2 linked regions of the Astyanax mexicanus genome follow. The protein of the gene in region 2 interacts with the protein of the main gene of each other region in a pairwise test. Links are inferred from orthologs where the notes say so. Each region holds a gene or a part of one and is shown on either strand. Other genes may lie near its edges.

Region 1 (11,210 bases), on a different chromosome or scaffold from region 2:
AGAATATTATGACCATGTTCTTGTTTATACTCTCATTGTCCATTTTTTTGCTGCACTGACCAAACAGAAGCACTTACAAATTTTATAATTAAAGACTGTAGTCCTGTTTCTGTGGATCTGCTTAGGTAATAGAGTCTTTAAAATCTCCAAAAGCACTATTATCTGATTCACTCATGCCAGCGTAACACACACTATTCCCCAGCCTCACCACCATGTCAGTGTCACTGCAGTGCTTAAATTCACCCACCACCCAAATCTAATCTGTGGCGTCATGACCATTGAAGAACAGGATGAAATGTGGACAATAAAGTATGCAAAGAAATAGAAGGACAAGTCACAATGAAAAAAGTCACAATTGTGCTCCTATATGGTTAGTGGAGCTGATATAATGGAAAATTAGTGTAATAACAAGGATTTTGTCATATTATGATTAGACTTTGTACATACTGTACAAATAAGTCTTGTCCTTAAATAATTCATATTTAATTTAGATGTAAAGACTTAAATTGTGCCTAAATGCTGCACCCTATTCATTTCCCGAACAATTTTCCAAACAGATATAGGTTAAAATTCATTAGATAAATTATGTTATCCACATATCTCATATTGACCGCTGCTCCTTCAGTGACAGAGTGAATATTACCCATCTTTGTTTCTAATGAATGAGTGTTAGTTAAGTAAACTGCAGGGCTCCACTGACACAGAGGTAATTCACTCCCTGAAAAGTGAGTCAATGTCACTTTTCAGACATTTGTGTGACACATACCATTTGTGGCAGAGAGAGAGAGCTGCTCTACTGCTGCTGGGAGGCGGGAGACTTCAGCACACCTTTAATTAACTGGAATTCTATTGAACTTCATTTCCCACAGATCAATACAGCACCAAACCTCCTATTTGTAATTTTGGACTAGAGACATCATAACCTAATTGTAGCCTTGAGGCAACAAGCAACACTAAATCTTATCTGCCTATCACCATAGTAACGTTAAGGGCTAAACTGCCACATAGCATTCATTTTTAATAGCAGTTCAATAGATGAATTAGTGCCTATATATGAATCATGGTACAGTGAGATTAAGATCAGCTAGTAGATCGCTTTAAATACCTTTACTTTTATAGGGTCTGTACCAGCTTAACTACAATACGGGATATAGAACAAAAGCATTACAATTATGCTGTTAGCTGTATTCATTAACAGCTAGTGCTACAAAACTTATAGCAAAGAGAGCCAATATATGGCAGTTTTAAGTTCATTTTTTTACACTTCCCAATAAATGAAACAAATTAAAGTGTTCAGCATCTCTCATCACACTTGGTATCAGTTTACTCAGTTTATTATCTCTTTACAAACTGGCTGTTTTCTAGCTGAAAGATACAAAATGTACAGTTCTAGGATAGTATTGTTAGATGAGCAACTTACAGCCTAGCACTGTTTGTTTACCAAAAGAGTATCTTTCTTTGCGTTAATCGCCTATTTTATATTATGTACTAATATAAAAATCAGACGGTGCTTGAAGTCCTACGTGTATTGAGGAGCAGTGCAGAAACTGACCCACATCAGGCTTAATGTTATATTGCCAATGTACTTAAAAGTAGGCTAGTTTATTCTACTTACCACCTCTCTACTCCCTGTCTTCCTTATTGTCGCACTCTCTGTATCCCTTGTTTTAATGTTTACAAAGTTTTGCAATTGCATTTTTATGATGTTTAACAGAATTCTGAAATAGCAAAGGCAATCATTTTATTAAGTGGAATAATATGCACAATAAAACACTTGAAACACTAAAAGTTTTCAAGTGTTTAACTGTCAAATTACAGTACATTTACAGTCCAATGAACTGTTTAATCACATAACATATAGTGGACAGTGTAAATAAATCAGGAAAAAACATTTTACTGTTAATTTAAATTTAATTTTAATAAAATTTCAGGTGTTTAAATGTAATGGTTAAATGAAAGAAATAAGCAGAAATACCATTCTGACATGTTTTCGTCCGATGCCTCCCTCTGCTCCTTGGCCTGGCGCAGAATCTTGTCCTTCCAGCAGTCTGCAGACAGGCCTCCCACTCCGGCCACAACAGAGCCTCCATCCTGCCCCGGCCAGGCCCCGGGGCGCTTTTTCAGTCGGCCTAACCTTTGCTTCTTATACGACCTCTGATGGTGGTGGTGATGGTGATGATGATGGGTTTGTTCACCCCGTTCCAACCCAGACACTCTCAGCTTCTGCTGCAGGCTCACGGTCACATCTGAGGTCATGCGTTTGACCTTACGGCGCCTGCGCAGCGGCCTTCCCGGAGTGTTCTCTGTGAAAGAGTCCGACTCTGGCCAGGAGTGCTGCCTGGCCCTAAAAGACACTGATGCTGAGGACCAGCGCTTTGCTATGACAGTGTCATCTGAATCACTGTAGTTAGCAGGCACCACACCTGCTGCTGATATGGCCACAGTGGCTGCAGCACCCTGCCTGTGGTCCCTGGTGAAGGCCTCGTCCAGGCTGGACTCGGACGGCTCGCTGAGGCAGCGTCCGTGCACCGGCCCGTGGAGGGAGAAGTCACAGCGTCGCTTGCGCCCCCTTCGTCTGCGGACCTGCCGCCGATGCTGCAGCGGGCTCAGCACCATCTCCTCCCACAGCTCATCCAGCTTGGCCTGCTCCGACGTCTGCTCCAGTGCCGACACCAGGTCCTGCACCAGCTCCTCCATATCAGCAATTCTGCCATCCAAACACAACAACGAGGTTTAAATGCAGAACTTACATTTTATTTAAAAATATGTTTTTATAAGTTTTTCATTGCAGACACAACATACAGAATAACTGCCAAATTCACTTATGTCAAAAAGTCACAAATGGAAAAATATTAGAAAACTATTACAAATTCATAAAAACATTGCAGCGAGTGGTATTACTACTACACAGTACAATCTAATACAAACCCTTTTATAAAACACTACTAAGCAGTGGGGCAATCTGTTTTGGGCAATATGACAGGATCTAAATTGACCTTTAGTCTATTTTTATACTCTTTCCATTAAAATCGTGTTTTATGTTACACTGATAGGTACATGTAATATCTTATTGTGTAGAGTGTTGTGTCTGCATAGCAGGAAAACCCATGTTTGCTATCAGTTGGGCTACACTAAACCAACCTCTGCACCCTACATCATGAGTGCGCTTTTCTATGCGTTTTGTGGCCATTGTGATTACTTAAACAACACTAATCAGAGTATATTGAATTCAATTAAAAGTTTAGTTTAAAATTATCTATACAATGTTTTTCACAACAGATATATTCCAAATACTTAAATACTGTAGCAAATTACATCTACTTCTTTACTTTCCACTACAAAATGTATATTATTTTATGCCATACTGCATGCCCTATACAGTAAATACTCAGCCTCAACATAGGATATTTTCTATTCGTACTGAGCAAAATGCATCTGTTGGAAAACTATTCACTAGTGGTATGCCATATTGTGTCATACGCAATATGTTAATAGATAATATTGATAATAGAAGTATTGTCTTTTCAACTAATATTTTTAAATACGTTTTGAATCAAGATTGTTTCTGGATGGTTCTACTGCTCGAATGTATGATAAACTATCCTCTTAAACCCTTGCTTATTTTAAATAGCCATATGCATAGTCATATGCATCTGTGATTCATACATTTTTTGAAAAAATATATTATTTTAGGTAGGGGTGGGCAATATTATATCGTATACAATATATCGTGACACAGAAATATCATGATATTAAAAATCCATATCGTGATAATAGGGCTGCTTTGTCTTAAAATTAGTCTATTATTTACTGGGAAGCTTTAGGTGTATTTATTGTATAATTGTTTTAGTTTGCAGTTTATATGCATGCACTAAATATCCTGTAATATTATTTGCTGCATTATATTATTTTATGCTATATTATTATATCATTTTGCCACATTATGATTATTCTGTTATACTATTATACTATATTCCTGAAATGAATGAATTATTTTAGTTTTCCTATATCGCCAAGTATATCGTTATCGCAAAAATACCCTGAAATATCGTGATATTATTTTAGAGCCATATCACCCACCCCTAGTACTGAGCAAAATGCATCTGTTGTAAAACTATTCACTAGAGGTATGCCATATTGTGTCATAGACAATTAAGACATTAAGACATAGTAAAAAATATAATTTCAAAAACCATTAAGTCGATAATAGAAGTATTGTCTTTTCAACTTATATTTTTTTTAATACGTTTTGAATCAAGATTGTTTCTGGTTGGTTCTACTGCTCGAATGTATGATAAACTATCCTCTTAAACTATTGCTTATTTTAAATAGCTATAATAATTGTCATATGCGTCTGTGTTTTGTAACAATTTTGAAAAAATGTATTATTTTAGGAAGGTGTCTAAGAATTATTATTTTGTTGCAGTAGAATATTTTTAAATCAATAAAACATTTTTAGTGTTTCGTCATATTGCCAAGACTGTAGTTATTACTGCAAAAATATAACCAAAATGATGGTGATATTACACTGCCTGGCCAAAAAAAGTCAGAAAAGCTTTAATTGTGAAAGGTCTGAGATTGGTGGTTGTTGTGGCTGTGGTGCACTGTGGTCTCAGGGCTGTGTCCACCCACTGCTATACTGACTGACTGCACTGCACTCAACACGCACTGCTGCTGACGTGAGGTGACGTCAGGGACCCTCAATGAGAGACCAAAACAATGCGGGCGCATTTGAGGATTACATAACACGGATGTCCTTCGAGACAAATGGCTTAAAAACGCCGCAGACCTCTAGTACCTCATTTACAACACCGCCTAATACTCCACCACTATCAGTGCACGGGCAATACACACTATAAACACTGTATAAACACAGTATAACACGCGGTTATAACACAGTATAACACAGCAGAGACGCGCTAGTTATCTCTCAGCTGTTCTCAACACAAGACAAAGCAGCAGCCCGGAGTCACACAGAACACTGTACCGCAGCACATATATACACAACATATATACATTACATATACACAATACACTTCTACAGCAGCCAGGCTGTATTTAATACGACACACAGCGCGGTGATAACGCTGTCACTATCACTAAACCTGCACACACAGCGAGTCAGACAGTGAGTAAAGTCAGCCGGCAGTATGAGCTGCAGTGTGTAACGCCCAGCAGAAGCCGTGTATAACGTGTATAAACCCTGTATAAAGAGTGTAAAGTGGTTTAAATGGGCTGATATCGCTGATTAAGCTCCTCTCACTCACCAGCTGCAGAACCTGCTGTTGTGTTTTCACAGCTGAAGACGGGGGAAGGACTTCCGCCCCGCGCATGGCGTCACTTCCGCCACCTCTCCAGGCAAAGCTGATTCTGCTAATCCAAATTAAAATATATATATATTTTATATTTATATTTATATCATATTTAATATTTAATTTTATGTTTTTATCAATAATAGCATTTCGAAGCTGCTAAATGAATAAAATAGGGGGAAACATATGTATATGGATTTTGTAAGTTTGCCCATTGACAAAGACCTGAATGGTCTATAATTTTAAGGATTGAAAAAGGTTGAATTTAACAGTGAGAGATAAAATATAAAAAAATAAAATCCATAAAGTCACATTGTATAAATTATATAAATTAAACGTACTGAGAGCTAGTTTCATCGTAGCAAGTGCACTATTTTATTTCTACTTTCTTACCATAATGGATGGATTAAAACATAACTCTAATAGGGCTATTTACTGTATACCAACTCTTCACAACACACCTGATGCTCTCAAACACATAAAGAGGGCAAGAAATAAAAAATAACTCCTAAACAGTTCAGCATGGCACCATTATTAGTCTGCAAAAAATGGTAATGAATAATATATATTTAGATATATTAATGTTAAAGGACTTAATTTAGAGGCTAAATTTGACAATCCATTTCCAGAATTGAATCAATTGTTCCCTTTAAATAATAAAGTATTTAAATAAATGCTCCCTCAATTTAACATAACTAATTACATTACATAATTAATGCAATACATAACTAATAAACTGTTACTAAAATTGTTACTAAACTGTAAAATCCTTCATTATTTATGTTTCCTTTTTTCAAAAATAATATTACATTTAAAGTAGCTGCTAAAAGAACCACATTGTTTCTATTAAGTCTATTTACAATGCTATTATTTTGGTGCAAATGGGGTATCAAAGGGGTCACTGAGTGGTCCAAAAAGGACAGGCTTTTTTACATGCATTTTACAAGCAGAGAGAAACAGACATCTGAACTGAGAGAAGCGTGTGGACAGATGTGGTAGAGTAATATTTGCAGTACTTTACGTCAATATGACTAAGGTTATACCAAAAATTTTAATGACAAGTGTTTTTGTTAAATAAATGCACATAAATGTCATACATGAAAAAAAAATGCTAGACAAATTAGCACATGTCCTTTAAACAAGTAAAATTAAAGAAAAGAAAAGTACAGAAACAAAAATTACAGACAGCAATCACTTTTTTCCAATGTATTTTGTCAGTTGATAGTTCTAGTTCTAATATTTTAGTCAGTAGGGAGTTCTAGTTAACACAGAGCAGTGTTAAACTCTTTTTAGAAAAAAAAAGAAAATAAATTAGCTGCAGTGCACATACACTACTGATATTACTTTATTATTATTTTCTCAACACCTGTGTGTATAAATGAAGTGCTTAAAAAGTAATCCTGAATTTATGTAGTAATAATTACTACTTTTGCCATACATTCTTCACTTCCCTCCCATACACACACTAAAAAAAGGAAAGGGGGGTGAACTAAAAAAATAAGGGAAAAAGAAACTCAGTGAACAAGAGCACAAAGACCATTTAATCTCTCTCATCTTCCTCTTAATAACTGCAAATTTCCCCCTGGGCTCCTGGGAGAGGGCCTCAGTGAGCGGCTAAGCCCTTATCTGTCCCTTCCACATTTTGTGCTGCAGACCGGCTCCCTCAGTACCCAGCCCCCAGGCCTCCGCTCACCCAGGCCTGCGGGACACACAGGCTCAGGGGCCCTCATTGTTTCAGGAGAGCCAGAGCATCCAGGGAGAAGAGCGACTGAAACACCAGAGGGACTCCACCGCTGCTTCATTCAGCATCTGCCTTTTCACAGGCAAACATATCAGAATCAGATCCCTTTCAGGACTAATAATTAGCAATTTAGAAACCTTGCCCCCTCAGGATACGCAGTTTCAATTTAGCCTGTCAGGCCAGAGCCTGCGTCACACAGCATTTAGCATTCATTGTTTCTTCCACTTTGCTAATTTCTCATTAGTACATTGTTTGGGCAGGGACAGGTGATAGTTTTTTAATTCATCTACTTTGTAATTCCACTGTTCATTAAGGTCTGTACAAGAGATGCTTTTGTGCGAAGACTTCCCAGTGCACCTTTAAAGGGCTCTACGGAATTGATCAAGAAATTATTTATTCATTAATTCATTCATTCATTTCAGACTGATTAAAAAAAGAACTTTAGATCCGATATAATAACCAGCATAACCAGCACACAGCGAAACTGTGAAACTACTACTTTTACTAAAAATAAGACACATTAAAAACTTAATAAAAAAGGAAAGAAAGAAAAGTCTCCAGTGCTGCTGAACAGAACATATGAATCATTTGGACGTTACTTGCTCTTTGTCTCTAAAATGCTAAAGCTTCAACTGGAAATGTTGCATGCTATAAATTTGTCCACAAAAGCAGAGTTATGGTAGCATTTATTTCTGCAAAAATGAAGAGCATGACTGATAATTCTGCCTCTGACTCTACTTTTTGTAGATCTGTGCACTTTGCAGCAGTCATCAGTAAACCCAATTAGTAGGGGTGTGCTGAGATCACATTCCAGGAGATCTTGCAAGATTAAAACAGCACAATATTTCTTGTCAGGTGTTAAATGTGTCTCTTGAGACTTATACACAGGTAACCAAAACAAATGTTTGGTCATTTTGGGTGGCAAACAGCATTGCTGGTCTGCTTTTTACACAAACAAACACCTGCGTCTCTGTATCTGCTGACTTTAACACACTGTTCCTTGTTCCGTTAATTGTATGGTCCACCAAATCTTGTGTTTCCGCCCACACATTCTCTTAATAGTGGAAACTGCAGAGCGACCTGCAGTTTTGTATTTTGTGAGTTTCAGTCAGATAAAATATTTTCAATCATCTATTTCATCTTTGAAATTAATAAATATATATATAGTGTTAAAATCCTGTCTCGTTTTGTGCACCGTTCTACTGTGCAGCATTGCACTGCACATGAGTTGTGGGTGAGTCATAAGTCTAACTAAAACTCAATCAACAATTGTACAGTTTAAAAAATATATGTACCACCATTCATGAAGAGAACACCTTGTCAACTGTCAGACTGCACTGGTGGCTGTGAAAACGTTGAAGTTGAAATGAGGATGGCTCCTACAACAGAATAATAAAAGACCATTATCTGGCTCCAAAATGTGTTTAGTCCTAACACTGTAGGGTGCACAGACATTTGCACTGAATACATTAATGTTTGGTTTCAGCTGAGTTTTTATTATTTCTATGATATAAAAGGTTTTTTTTTTTATTTGAATAATTTGTGTTTTATACAGCTACAGTTTTCTCAATTAAAATAAATAACAAAATTTGCCATTTCACCAAAGATGCCCAAACTTTGACATTGGTTTCTGTTATATTTATAAATAATATATAATATTAAATACTATTAAATATCTTAAAATATACATTTTCCTATAAATAAATATCCCAGGAAAGGATTATGCATCATGCATGTGCAAAGTAATCAGAGTTTTAAACTGTTAAAAAAAAGTTATTTCAGGGAAAGTGTTTAAAAATCCATCCCACACATCTTACCTCAAGGGGCAAGAAAAACATTTACGGAGGATAACCAAGGCTCCATTGTTTCAAAAGACACAACTCAACTCATTCATTTGCACTCGATTATGTATCACAAAATATAATTGAATTCGCTCCACTCTCGAACATAAAATGAAAGCCGGTGATAATGCATATTGGTCCGCAAACCGAAATTTCGAGATTCTCATCAGAGTGAGGAAAATACGCCCCAGCTTAGAACAAAAGGGGAGCGTTTAGAAGCACTGAAAAGGCTGGGGTTGGAATAATGAATGAAGTCCGAGTAAGCTATCTTCCCCGGGCAGGGAGTCACTGGGGATGCCAACGCAGAGCCGGTGAAATGAACTACCTATCTGCACAGAGAGTGACTGCTCCATCCTATTTGATTTGGCTCTCCTATCATCTCTTAAGAAGATGTCAGCCTTGCTCCATCTATTGCTCCAAGCCTTTATCAAGGCTAAGACGTTCCCCAGCAAGAAGGGGGGGAGCTGCATTTCAATCCCTTTCAAGGCACAACACTAAAGAATAACTGTTATGCGATAAAAAGCCGGTTGTTAAATAGATCTGTCTATTTGTATGGTAATAATGATCGTTTTAAGAGCCACCGTGTCATGACTTGTGGAACAAGGGAGCATATTTGTATGCAGGTATTGTGTAGTATCGTGACTCTTTCAACGACCTTGCAAAACTTTTATACTGTAAAAAATGGAGCTGCTACCTCTGACTTGTTCCATTTTTTTTATTCCCGTTCCTCCACTGTTTGAACACATCACAATGCACTTTTTATACAGCTTCAGGTACGGATACAATATGTAGGGATGGTTGTACTTTTTGGGACGAGAGTTAGGGAGGAGGGGGGGGTGTAGGAGTATTTCATATAGCCTAATTGCCATTAAATGTCATCTAAATGCCATTAAAGGCTTTTTTAAAACCTGACCTAAAAGTTGTATAAGTTACAGCCTCTTCATAATCTCGACCCACGGAAATTCATTTTAGTGCAAAAGTAAAAATACTAGAAGCTGCAGAGCTCAAATGTGAGAACATTTTCCAGACACTGGGGCTAATTATAGAGTGTTGCTTGTTTAGTCTAGTGCTGTAAAGGCTTCCTTAAATTTAATGTTAGATATGGTCTGACGATGATCTTGTAGTCATTTCTTCCATTTTTTTACATTTGTTCCCTTAACATACAGAAATGGATATGTCCCCTTTAAAGGTTGTTAAGACACTGGGAAAATACATAGCCTGTCCTCAAAGCTAAATGTGGCAAAATTATAAAAGATATTCTGCTCTTTTAAGAAAAAGACTTAAAACCAGCTACCAGCATAGGGTATGATTTTCTGGATGGCTAGCTGGTCTTAAGCTGGATTTTTAGCAGGGTGGTTTGTTTAAAACTTTATGTTTACAGAATGATTTAGCATGTTAAAGTTAACCTAACTTAATTATTAAATTAACATTGTAAAAAAAATCATAAAAAAAGAAAACACATTGAATGAGAAGAGATGTGTGTGTCCAAACTTTTGACTGGTAATGTACTTACTACAAAAGTGACAGTAGAATGTTCCATTGCATAATATGGAGCATTACCACAGAGTACCTGAATATAGGCCTTGTCAGACAATAACTAGACACTTCAGTGTTACTCTCTGAGAGCAGTGAGTAGTGAAAGGAGAAATAAAGCCATTGTGGTTGGGTTTCTCATTCAGAGTCCACACACCATACTCTCCAGCTCCCCGTGGACATCAGCTGTCATCAGCAACACTATCAGCAAACAAGACTGGCCCACTTAAGGGGCATTGTTTTTTGTTGGTTGATGCTGTTGCAGCAGTGATACCCATTTAACACTATTGTTCTTTTTAACATGGAGACAGCACTGAATGGAGAAGGAAAAATAGAAGTCCATTATATAGAGAGTAGATGTATGCACAGAATGACGATAAAGCTTTCTGGGTCTTCTAGAATACCACAGTAAGTCCAGTCCAGTAAACTCTAAGCAACATCATGTCAACTACCTGAAAAAACTATAGCAATCACATTACCACTCTGGAACACCCATCTACCATCCACTTACAAACATCATAGCAACTATTTGGGGAAGCTATAGCAACCACCTAGCAACCCTCTGGCAACCACATATCACCCACTTAGCAACATCATAACAACCCCTTGAGATGCCGTAGTGACCTCCTAACAACATCCTAGTAACCACCTGGCATACTATAAAAACCACTGTGAAACATTATAACAACCCCCTTGTACCACCAAGAACACAATAGCAACCACCTGGGATGTGATATCAACCACCTAGCAACCACTTGAAAGAGCATTGTGCCTAGCAATCAC
Region 2 (10,590 bases):
CTCCGAAGCAAATCTATTTCAGGTACACAAGGTCCAACTATCACTTAGTAACAAACATGTAATCCTGTACAAGCCAGAGCAAAGCACCATGCTACAACCCGCTCCGCTCCAGAGCCGTTCTAAAGTTGCAGGAATTTGTAAGTTAAAGGGATGGCAAAAAAAGGAAGAAAGCCAAAAAAGAAAGTGGAAATGCACAGATGTGAATGTGCAAACCATCCAAAGGCCACAAACCCCTTTCAACACATTTGTCATCTGAATGCAAACAAAACGCTGCTTTGCTCAGAAGTTTTTTTTAAGGAGCTGATTAAAAGTGAAGCATTTGTATAAAAAGAAAGAAAGCAGAAAAGGACTGCCACTCTGTTTGCGGTAATGAGCGAAGCCATTGCATTTAAGCCGTTGAGCTTTTAATTGGCTGGATGGTGAGTGTGTGAGAGGAGCGCACGGCTGATCGCCTCTGCTATGTGAGCTTCCTCTTCAGCAGCACTCATCCGCACCAGCCCGGGGAACACAACACAGCCGCCGCCTCTCATTACCCAGCCAAAAAAGTTCCAGTTTTTACACTCCTCTTACTTCTGCCCGAGAACTAGTCTGAGATGACTGTCCCTTTCTGACACATGCATCTCCTATAGGCTATAGGCTGTGTCCAGAACCGCACAGTAACATGCTCATCAGCATGTCAGCAGTAATACTCCATAAGTCATGAGTACGTTCATTGGTACGATATGTTTACAAAGAAATGAAATAGCATAACTGTACGCTCCAATTTGAGCACATTTCTTAGAATAGGATTTTTACAAAAACGCTAAATAGAATGTCAAAACAGCAAAGACCCAATTATGCAGATTTATTAGAACAATATGTCTCAGAACTAGTTTGAGTCGACAGTCTTTTTCTGATGAATGCGTCTCTTATCCTGTGATTATTACTGAGATAATAAACAGTCTGTCGAAGTAGTACATCACAATGTGTGGTACATTCATTAGATCAGTGTGTACATTGTGATACTGAGTAGTACATCCGAAAGTACACGAACACTGGCGTGTATATTTGTATGTATGTCTAAATACTATTACAATATGTATCAAAACTAGAGTGAGTTAACATATGTTTTCTAATAAAGATAATAAGATAATTCATAGTCAGTAAAATAAACATCCTGTTCATAAGTACAATATATATCATCGCTGTCCAATGAAAATTAAACACTTCCATAACAGCAACTTTACAAGAGAGAGCAAAAACATTCAAACTTGTACAGTTTATTTCAGGTCATTTTAAAGTATTTCTATTGGTCTGTTCATTAAGAAATTTTGGCACAGTGTACGTGACAGTTTATTTGTGCAAATTATGTAGCAAACTAAAATCAACAAAAATGGAGATACTTGTTTTTCATTGAACAACAACAATATACAAAGTTACTAAGTAAGTAAGAACAATATGCCAACATATGAGTATATTAATTTGTAAACTATGCAGAATAATATAAGAAACATAAGAAAAGTATAACAAAGAAGTATGCTACAGTTATATGTAATATGCATATTGGAACAATACGTATCAGTATATTTCTGATGAATGAATAAATTAATAAATCTACGCTGCATCCAAAACTGCATGCTAGAAAAACTTAACAGTCTGTCAGTGTTGTACAACACCATGTATGTGGTGCTGTATTTTCATTATTCAGTACTTTCATTAGTACAATACATAACACCAATACTGAGTAATACATCAAAATAGAACATAATTTAAACATGTTAATTGGTACATTATGAATAGTACAATTCAGAATGGTACATCAAAACAGTACATCACCATTTGTAGTACAATACGTAGCAGATTAAGATGGCACATCACCATTTAAAGTAAAATCATTAGTACAACATGGCCACTACTATAATGAATAGTATGTCAGTGCAGTAAAAGTAATACATATTTGCTAGAAAAATACACCACCAATACGTGAATTAGTGCAATATAAACATATATGTGTGTGTGTGTGTGTATATTTAGACACTAAATGTCACTAGCACACTACATACACACTGAGCTTCAGCCTTTTCTCTTGTGTCCTACTAAAGCACCAGCATGTGTTTTGAAGGTTTTTAGGTTTTGAGCAAGCCTTAACAATTAGACGTAAAAAAGTAACAATTAGATAGTTTGCCTTACATGACATTCCATGACATCCCGTGATGTCACTATTCTATTACGCATTTACACATATCGATGCCAATGTAAAACCGATAAATTGTGCAGTCCTAAGTTGAACAATATAATATGTGTACTTTAATATTGTATTGATTTTGGATGCAGACTCTATTATTTTGGTGCGCTGCCTTCAGAAAGCCAGTCTGTGTGTCTTTGTGTGGATTAATTTCTTTAAGTATTATTTATTATTTTTTCTCGGTTTTCCCAGACAAACACACCACAAATCAGTCTAAAGAGCACTGTCCTAACCTACAACTGTCTTTACATATATATAACTATTATTTATTTTTTTATGCCTGTATTTCAGCACGAACAGTTCACCCAGACGAGATCTCTTACTGTCTGTGCTCTTCCCCAGTCTTTCCAATTATGTCCTACTGAAACACCAGCATGTGTTGTGAATGTTTTTAGGGGTTTGTTTAAGCATGTCTTGGGCAAAAAGCAACGAATATATGTTTGCCTTACATGACATTCAACGCAACATGTCCTGAGATGTGACTATTTTATTATGAATCTGCCAATTGCGATGCCAATGCAAAAACAATGCCTTGAACAGTACATGGAACAGTATAATATGTGTACTTTACTTTAGTATTGGTTTTAGATGCAGAACCTGTTCTTTTAGTGCTCTGCATTACAGATGGCCAGTCTGGGAGTTTTTTCTCAAACTAGTTTTCCCAGACATCACAACACAAACCAGTCTAAGGAGCACTGTCCTAACCTGCAACTGTTCGTACATATATCTAACTATTATTATTTTTTTTATGCCTGTATTTAAGCACAAACTCTTCACCTAGACGAGATCCCTGAAGCACCAGCATGTGTTGTGAAGGTTCTTATGGGTTTGTTTGAGCATGTCTGTTGTTTGGGCAAAAAGTAAGAAATAGATGTTTGCCTTACATGACATTACATTTCTCGCGATGTCAATGCAAAAACGATATATTGTGCAGTCCTGCGGTATAATCTTTGTACTGTACTGTAGTATTGGTTTCTGATGCAGACCCTATTCTTTTAGTGCTCTGCCTCCAGATGGCCAGTCTGGGAGTTTGTGTGTGGACTGATTTCTCAAATTATTATCATTTCTTTTCTGGGATTTCCCAGAAAACACAACACCAAAAACCAATATAAAACACACTGTCCTATCTTGTGACTGTCCTTACATGTATCTATCTATTATTATTATTATCTTTATGCCTTTATGTCTATATTTTAGCACTAACAGTTCACACAGATGAGGTCCCTCACTGTCTGTGCTCATCCCCAATTTTTCCTCTCATGCTCTGCTTGAAGCACCGCGTGCGTTTTTTGAACGGTTTTAAGGGTTCGAGCGAGACTTGGGTAAAAAGTACCAATTTGCCCCCCTTTCCTCCTCATCCCCGTCCCTCCTCCGTTCAAGCGCGTCACAGCTGCGCGAGCCGGAGATGCTGACATTTCACCCGCTTATCACTTTAATTACGGTTGCCATGGCAGCGCGGTGCTTGGAAAAGGCCAATAAGATCTGCTACAGAGGAGGCAATTTTCGAAGCGGCTCGCGACGCGAACGGAGCCCGACCGTTAAACTCAGGGAGCGTTAAACGCGTTTCAAATCAGCTCGCGAGCGAAAACGAGAAACGAAAACGAGAAACGTTAAGCGTTAAGACACACTAAAAAACGTAAACACACACAAACACAGGAGGAAAATGCGATTCGGAAGAGTGTGAGACGTATAATTACAGCACGTTTTTGGTGAAAAGAAAACACACGACACACAAGACAAAATCTCACGATAAATAAAAAGAGGAAAATCAATGGAGAAAGGAAACGTACGGAGACGCCAACGAAACTATAACGTTACAGCACAGAAACGGCTGTCTCGCGGATATAACGGTCACAACCGGTAAGAGAACAATAAATCTACCTGAAAAAGGAGAGAGTGAAGCTCTTACCGAAACTTTTCTCCCTTTTCTGCATTGGTCGACCCGCTTCAGCTCGTCCAAAAACACCGCCACCACACACACCATGCAACAAGAGGAGGTGCGAGCCCAGGCTTCCCCCCCGGTCTTCGTAAAGTGAGCAGCCGCGTGCGCTCTCTCTCTCTCTCTTTCTCTCTCTCTCTCTCTCTCTCACTCACGCACACTCTCTCTCTTACTCACACACACTCTCTCTCTCTCCCTCTCTCTCTCTCTGAGGGCGGTTCGCTTTTGTTAGAAGTAGCTTTAGCTAACAAATCCAGCGTCGCCTCACTTCCCTCAGAGAAGAAAGAGGGAGAAACGAGGAAAACACCAATCAACGGAGCCCAGCCGGACCTCCGCCGCTGCTGCTGAGGGTAGAGCCACGGAGAAGAGAGAAGGAGAGACAGAACGAGAGAAATAGATGGAGAGAAAGAGGGAGAGATAGACTCGCGCCACACGCTGATATAGCTAGCCCTAACTAACTAACACCGCGCGTCTCGTCACGAGCAGAGCTCGACTATGAAATTAGATCCAGCAGCAGCAGAAGCGCAGCAGCCGCGCGCGGAGTGACGGCGAGCAAAATGACAGCGGACCACAAAGGCGTACACGCTCAGGCAAACCCCTCCGCGGCGCCCTCACACTATAATCCTGCCGCCGCTTCACTCACACACAAAACAAACAGGGGGACCGAGCGGAGCAGCAGCCGCTGCAGCACCACCACCAGAAGCAGCAGCTCGTGTGTTTCGTGTGTTTATGCTGGTTTATAGTGAGGAGATGATGATGATAATCATGATGATAATGATTGTCTTGATGACTTTTTACTCGTTTTTATTTTTTGAACGACAACAGTATAGGCTACAAAGCGTTTGGTTGAAATAAATAACGTGGGATACTGATAATAATAAAAAGTAACAACAAAACCATCACATACTAAAACCGATCTACGTCCATACACACGTAATTACGAAAACATTACATTATTTTATATATGCCTTTATAAAAGAAAATTTCAGCTTTCAGCTATTTATCTACTCCAAAATAGTGCTGATGTTTGTAACAGATAAAATATTACAGATACAAACATTTTCTAAATGCCGGTGTTTTATGCATCTGGCATCTAGCTGCTGTTTTGTTGTCCAATAAAAGAAATAGTCATTTAAAAAGTCCCTTAATAAAGACATAAAAAAAGAAAATGTTAAAGAAAAGTGGAAAAGTAAACACATTAACAACTCTGTTTAAGCACATATAATCTATATAAAAACACAAGAAACTTCTAGAAAATAATGCTATAACTCTTTTTTAAAAACAGACATACTGACATGCGTTAAAACATGCTGAAAACGTTGCAAAATGTATGTATGTATGTATGTATAAATGTAACTTAAACCTAAGTCTGAAAGGTTCTGCCTTTTGTTTTTGTTCCTAATAGTTCCTATATAAGATACTACTAATAAAACCTAATGAAGCCTATTAGCTCTACAAGCACATTCACAAGAAGGTGTTAAAAATGTGACTTTTCTTAGCTAAAACTAAAGCCTAAAGTGAACCAAAGTCTTGTCCTCCGCCGACCACCCCCCGCTGCCCCCCACTCACCTTCTTGACCAAGTTGAGCAGAAGGTTCACTCCGGGCTCGATCTCACTCCCCCCAACTCTCTGATCTTTCCGAGCAGAAAAACAACACTGATAAAGTTCACGAGACCCACATGGCGCCGCGGCGGCCGGACGACTGCGAATCTTCAGGTGTAAAACAGCGAGGTCCACATGGATGGAGGTACAACCCGCGACTCGGACACGCAGCTACAGGTGTTCTTCTCGCGCGAGCCCTCATAGACACACACACGCGCACACAAGCTGGACTAGACACGGAGCAGCGCACCGGTGCACGCGCAGCCGCGAGTCGCGAGCTTCTTTTACGCACTGCGTTACTGAGTGACTACTGTAAACCAGCAAAAAGAGAGACGTTTTACACGGCGAGGAAAAGGTCGTTCACTTATAACTGATAGTCGGAGTCGCGTGCGTGTGTGCGTGCGTGCGTGTGAGCTTGCGTGAGTGAGGGAGCGCGCGCGCGTGCTAGCGAGCGAGCGTGCGTCCGTCTGTCTCTACACCACTCTCGCGCGCGCTCTCTCTTCGCTCTCTGGCGCGCGTGCGGTGGATGTCGAGACGCGCGCATGTATATAAACGGCTCTGCTAGTCAGTCTACTCTGCCTAAACAGGTTTTTGTTTACTATCTTGCTATCTATCTCTTCACCTTTCTCGCTTTTTACTCTCTCTTTCAGTCTGCAACTAATTCAAGCTCTGTAAAAAGTGTGCACGTGCCATCCAGGACCACAACACACTTTCTAAATAAAAGGTGCTTTAACAGGCTTTTTTTTCATCAAAGTGCAAATGTACCCTTAAAGGTACAGCATGATCCTTTAAGCCCAACAATGTCCCCTAAAACTAGGGTAAAACAATTGTGTAAATATAGTACTGAAGAGTATTTTTTCTGAGAGTGCACTCTGATAGAGACTATAATATGAAGTTTTATATAGGCTACATATAGTCAGAATGGTACCTGAGTCATGTTAAATGTCAAAGGCCTTCTTTTTTAACGACATTCCAAAAATTGTATCAACTTTGCAGGCCAAGGTCCGACTACTAACTTACTAACTGCCTGGACAGAATAGAACAATTAGTTTTCTTGCACTCTAAGAGGTAATTTGTCCATTTTACGTATATTGTTTCAGGAATTTTAATTTTAACACATTCCTAAGACAGTGTCTAATTTGCAACACATAGATTATTTGTAATGTTTATTTACCTTGCTTCTCAATTCTAATTTAATTAGCCTACAATTTGCTCTCTTGTTACCCTGTAGTTACCCTATTTTTGTTACCCTGTAGTTACCCTATTTTATGCAGCAATGACACAATGACACATTTTTGGGTTTATTGTTTGCTTGTAAACTTACTCACTGTGAAACAGTGCTGACATTCTGTAATTTTTGGCACATCTCTTTTTTTTGAGTGTTCTCAGTGTGCTTACACTTCATGCTACTGCAGATATAATTGATTTCCACTGGTAAACATGTGCATGCTTGTGTACGTGTCTCTGAAGCTCAAACTCGGTGTTTACCCCCCTCAGTGAGTGCCTATTGATGTCCATATTAGGGCTTTGTATTGGTAAGAACCTGGTGATAGGTATGGCGGAATGGTGTTGTGATTCAATATTTTGTGATATATCGCAATACTGTAAGCAAGACGATATACTGAGATTTTTTTATTATCAAAATTTAGATAAAACTGCCAATAGTATAAAATCTGAGAAAATGAAAAGCTTATGTTTCAATTAGTCAGAAGAGTGAAATCTGAGGGGACATCATAATATGAACCACTGTCTGCCAGCGATGCTTTAATCAGACACTGTGGTTTTGAGAATTAATACAGTAATCCAAAACATTACAATATTGTGATACTTCGCTATTAAACAACGCTTTTGTTCACACCTAGTCCATAATTACTCCACACAAACTGTAAAAACACTCCTATAGTGTAGCCTAACAGGTAATAGCTTGGATCTCAGAAAGTTTGCTTTTGTTTTCTTTTATTTCCCATCAGTCTGCGGGTGAGGTGACGAGGGTGGTGAAGAGATGGGGTCAGAGTTAGCGAGTCCACCGGTAGTCCTGGCAGGCGGCCTCTTGCCAATCACTGTGACTAAAGCGCAGCACTAATGAGATGGGTCATAAAACGCTCCTCGCCACCATTATGAGTGATGAGATGCATTAAAGCTGACAGGGTATTACCTGGCTGTAATTAGGTTTTGTCATGGATTGAATTATTTCAAAGCGGGCTATCTGCGTAATCATGCAATTTGCGGGGGTGAGAGACGCAAAGGGAGAGAGAGAGAGTGAGAGAGAGAGAGAGAGAGAGATGGAGAGCGCGAGACTGGCTCTTCTCTCTTTTTCGCACCCCTCCCCCCAACGACCACTTCATCTCGCGCATTATCACGTCAATTATTCAGCACAGATATGTGAGTTATGTGGAGAGATGAGCTGGGCAGCAGTACGGTACACACACGTGTGTATGGGTATATGTGTGTATATATAGGAAAGAGAGAGATAGAGAGAGGAAATCTAAAGGTGCATAAAGTTATAACATGCAAACCCGCATGCAACTTGCAAGTGCAGGCACACATTCACACACACGCATGTGCACACACAATCTCTCACTCTCTACAGCGCAAGGTGATAGAAACATCTCAGTACAACCAACCAGGCTATGGCTCTTGTGCACTAAGCTTCCAATCAAAAATGCAAGCAATGCCCTGTGACCACGTTACTGCACCTTCTGTCACACAAAACTCATCCACAACATCCAGCCCCCACCACCACCATTACAATTTTAGATTTTAGGCTACTCATCAGACTTCCATGGTGGCAAAGTTAGCAAACACACAAACTTTGTCCAAACACTTGCACAAGTCTTACATATAAATCATAACAGGACACAATGCTCCACCCCCTTTTTCCCTTTTTTTGCACAGGCAACTCTAGACTGAGTGTATAAAGAGGGGAAAATCTTCAGGATACTGTACCGAGCGAAACAAGCAGCAGCCAAGCCGGTACTCTTCAGGTCTAAGCCTGGACTCGATCCCCTCTTCTTTCTCCTCCTCTTCCTTCTTCTTCTTCACAAACAGAAAGCAGTCCGTTTCCTTTACTTATTTTTCTTATTTCCTTTCTCCTTTCTGTCTTTTCTCCTCCACGCAAAAACGACCGACTTCCTGTTTTCTTCCCTTTTGTCCTCTCCTGTTCTGTCCTCTCTTCTTTTCCTCTCCTCTCCTCTCTTCCCCTGTCCTCTCCTCTCCTCTCTCTGGCAGCAGAGTCGAGGCGGACCTGAGCCGGCCCTATTTAAGCACCTTCCAGCAGGTCCCTAGTTAGCAGCGCGCTCCAGCTCATCCAAGAAGCTGACAAGCACCGTTAGGGAAGGCAGCGCATGTTGCTCTAATGGACCTCATTAAGCTCTACTTACAGATGTTCTCTTAACATAATTGATCTGCAGCGAGTTGAGAGGACGGCAACCTATTCCCCAGCCCCCAATTATGGCCCGGTAATTAGATCCCCAACCTCCAGCTCTCCACATTCACCCTTCCAACATTCCGAAATATCAAAGTATCTCTTTCTCTCAAAGCAAAAACCCTCCTGCTCTGCTCTCCCCCCACCCCGCCCTCCACCACCACCTCCACCTCCTCCACCACCATCACCACCTAACCTCCACGCCTCCTCCTCCTCCTTCTCCCAAAGACTCCATCCCTCTGACAGTATTGACAGTCAGATCTGCTAACCTTTGTAGTGAAGCCAGACTTAGTAGTGCGCTCACTCCAATTGACAGAGCTCAGTCTTCTTTTTTTCTGCCTCCCTCCATCTCCCGCTCTTTTTTCTCTCTCCCTCTCTATCTCTCTCTATCCCCTCTCACAAGCTTGCTCGCTCGCTTGCTCCCCCTTTTTCCTCTCTCTCTCTCTTCTTCTTCTTCTTCTTCTCCCTGCCGAAAAACCACCCTGGGAAAGAGTGAAGGATGGTGTGCGAAAGGGATGAAACGAAGGAAGGTGGGGAGGAAGGGAGGGCAAGAGCACGAAAGGGAGGGAGCGGGAGTAGAGAGGTAAAGAGTGAGAGAGGGGAGAAATAGAGAACAGAGAGAGAGAAAACAAGTTTGTACTTTTGATAAAAGGTTGTAATGATAATATCTGTCAGGGGAGGATCTTTTTTTATAATGTCTTTTTATCTCTGATAATTCCTCTGATGGCAACTCTGAGAGTGTCTGCGAGAGAGAAGAGGAGGCTGGTGGCGTGAAGGGTTTGAGGAGCGATGGCGAAGCGTTTATAATGCCAATCAGAGCCACTCCTATTACCCGTCTAATTAGCGAGCACGCTAAAACACAGAGCACTTAAGGGAAATGGGGATGTCACACTTCTTCACTTAAAAGGGGAGACAGTTTCGTCACACTGGGAGAGAGAGAGAAAGCGCGGGGTGCACTCGATGCCAGTCATTGGCGGGCACGTTTTTCAGGAGCACAGGTTGTGCGAGTGTTTGTGCCTTTCAAAAATAACAAAATAATAAAAAAAAACTGCATACTGTATAGACACAACAAATCAAGCTATAAGCGGTGTCAACATTCAGACAGACGTGTCTTAAAAGAGTCGACATCTTAACCACTGCTGTTCATAAGCACAGTGCAAAATGACCGTATGCCTTTATAGATTTATTATTATTTATTTAGGTTAAAAAACCAGAAAATAGAAAAACTAAGACATAACACAATAACAAAAATCCATCAAATTTTGTCCAGTTGTTGTGATGTAAACAGCATTATTTACAGTGGTTTGTTGAAAAATGTTTGACTTGGTATCAAATCATACTGTCTTATTTCTTTTTAGTGGTGAAAGAAACTAGATCATGATATCCACAACACAAATATAC

The links. The genes of interacting proteins can lie anywhere in the genome.
Region 1: the proteins of lmo3 (region 2) and G patch domain-containing protein 2-like interact in binary tests that used the Homo sapiens proteins (3 or more experiments, as listed by UniProt). The link is inferred for Astyanax mexicanus from reciprocal best matches to the Homo sapiens genes LMO3 and GPATCH2L.

The regions. Positions count from the first base shown.
Region 1 is NC_064421.1:13,979,367-13,990,576, forward strand, and holds the start of G patch domain-containing protein 2-like, read right to left. Parts: upstream 5,352-11,210; 5' UTR 5,268-5,351; intron 2,708-5,267; 5' UTR 2,698-2,707; coding exon 1,976-2,697; intron 1-1,975.
Region 2 is NC_064409.1:10,574,246-10,584,835, reverse strand, and holds the start of lmo3 (LIM domain only protein 3), read right to left. Parts: upstream 4,700-10,590; 5' UTR 4,209-4,699; coding exon 4,106-4,208; intron 1-4,105.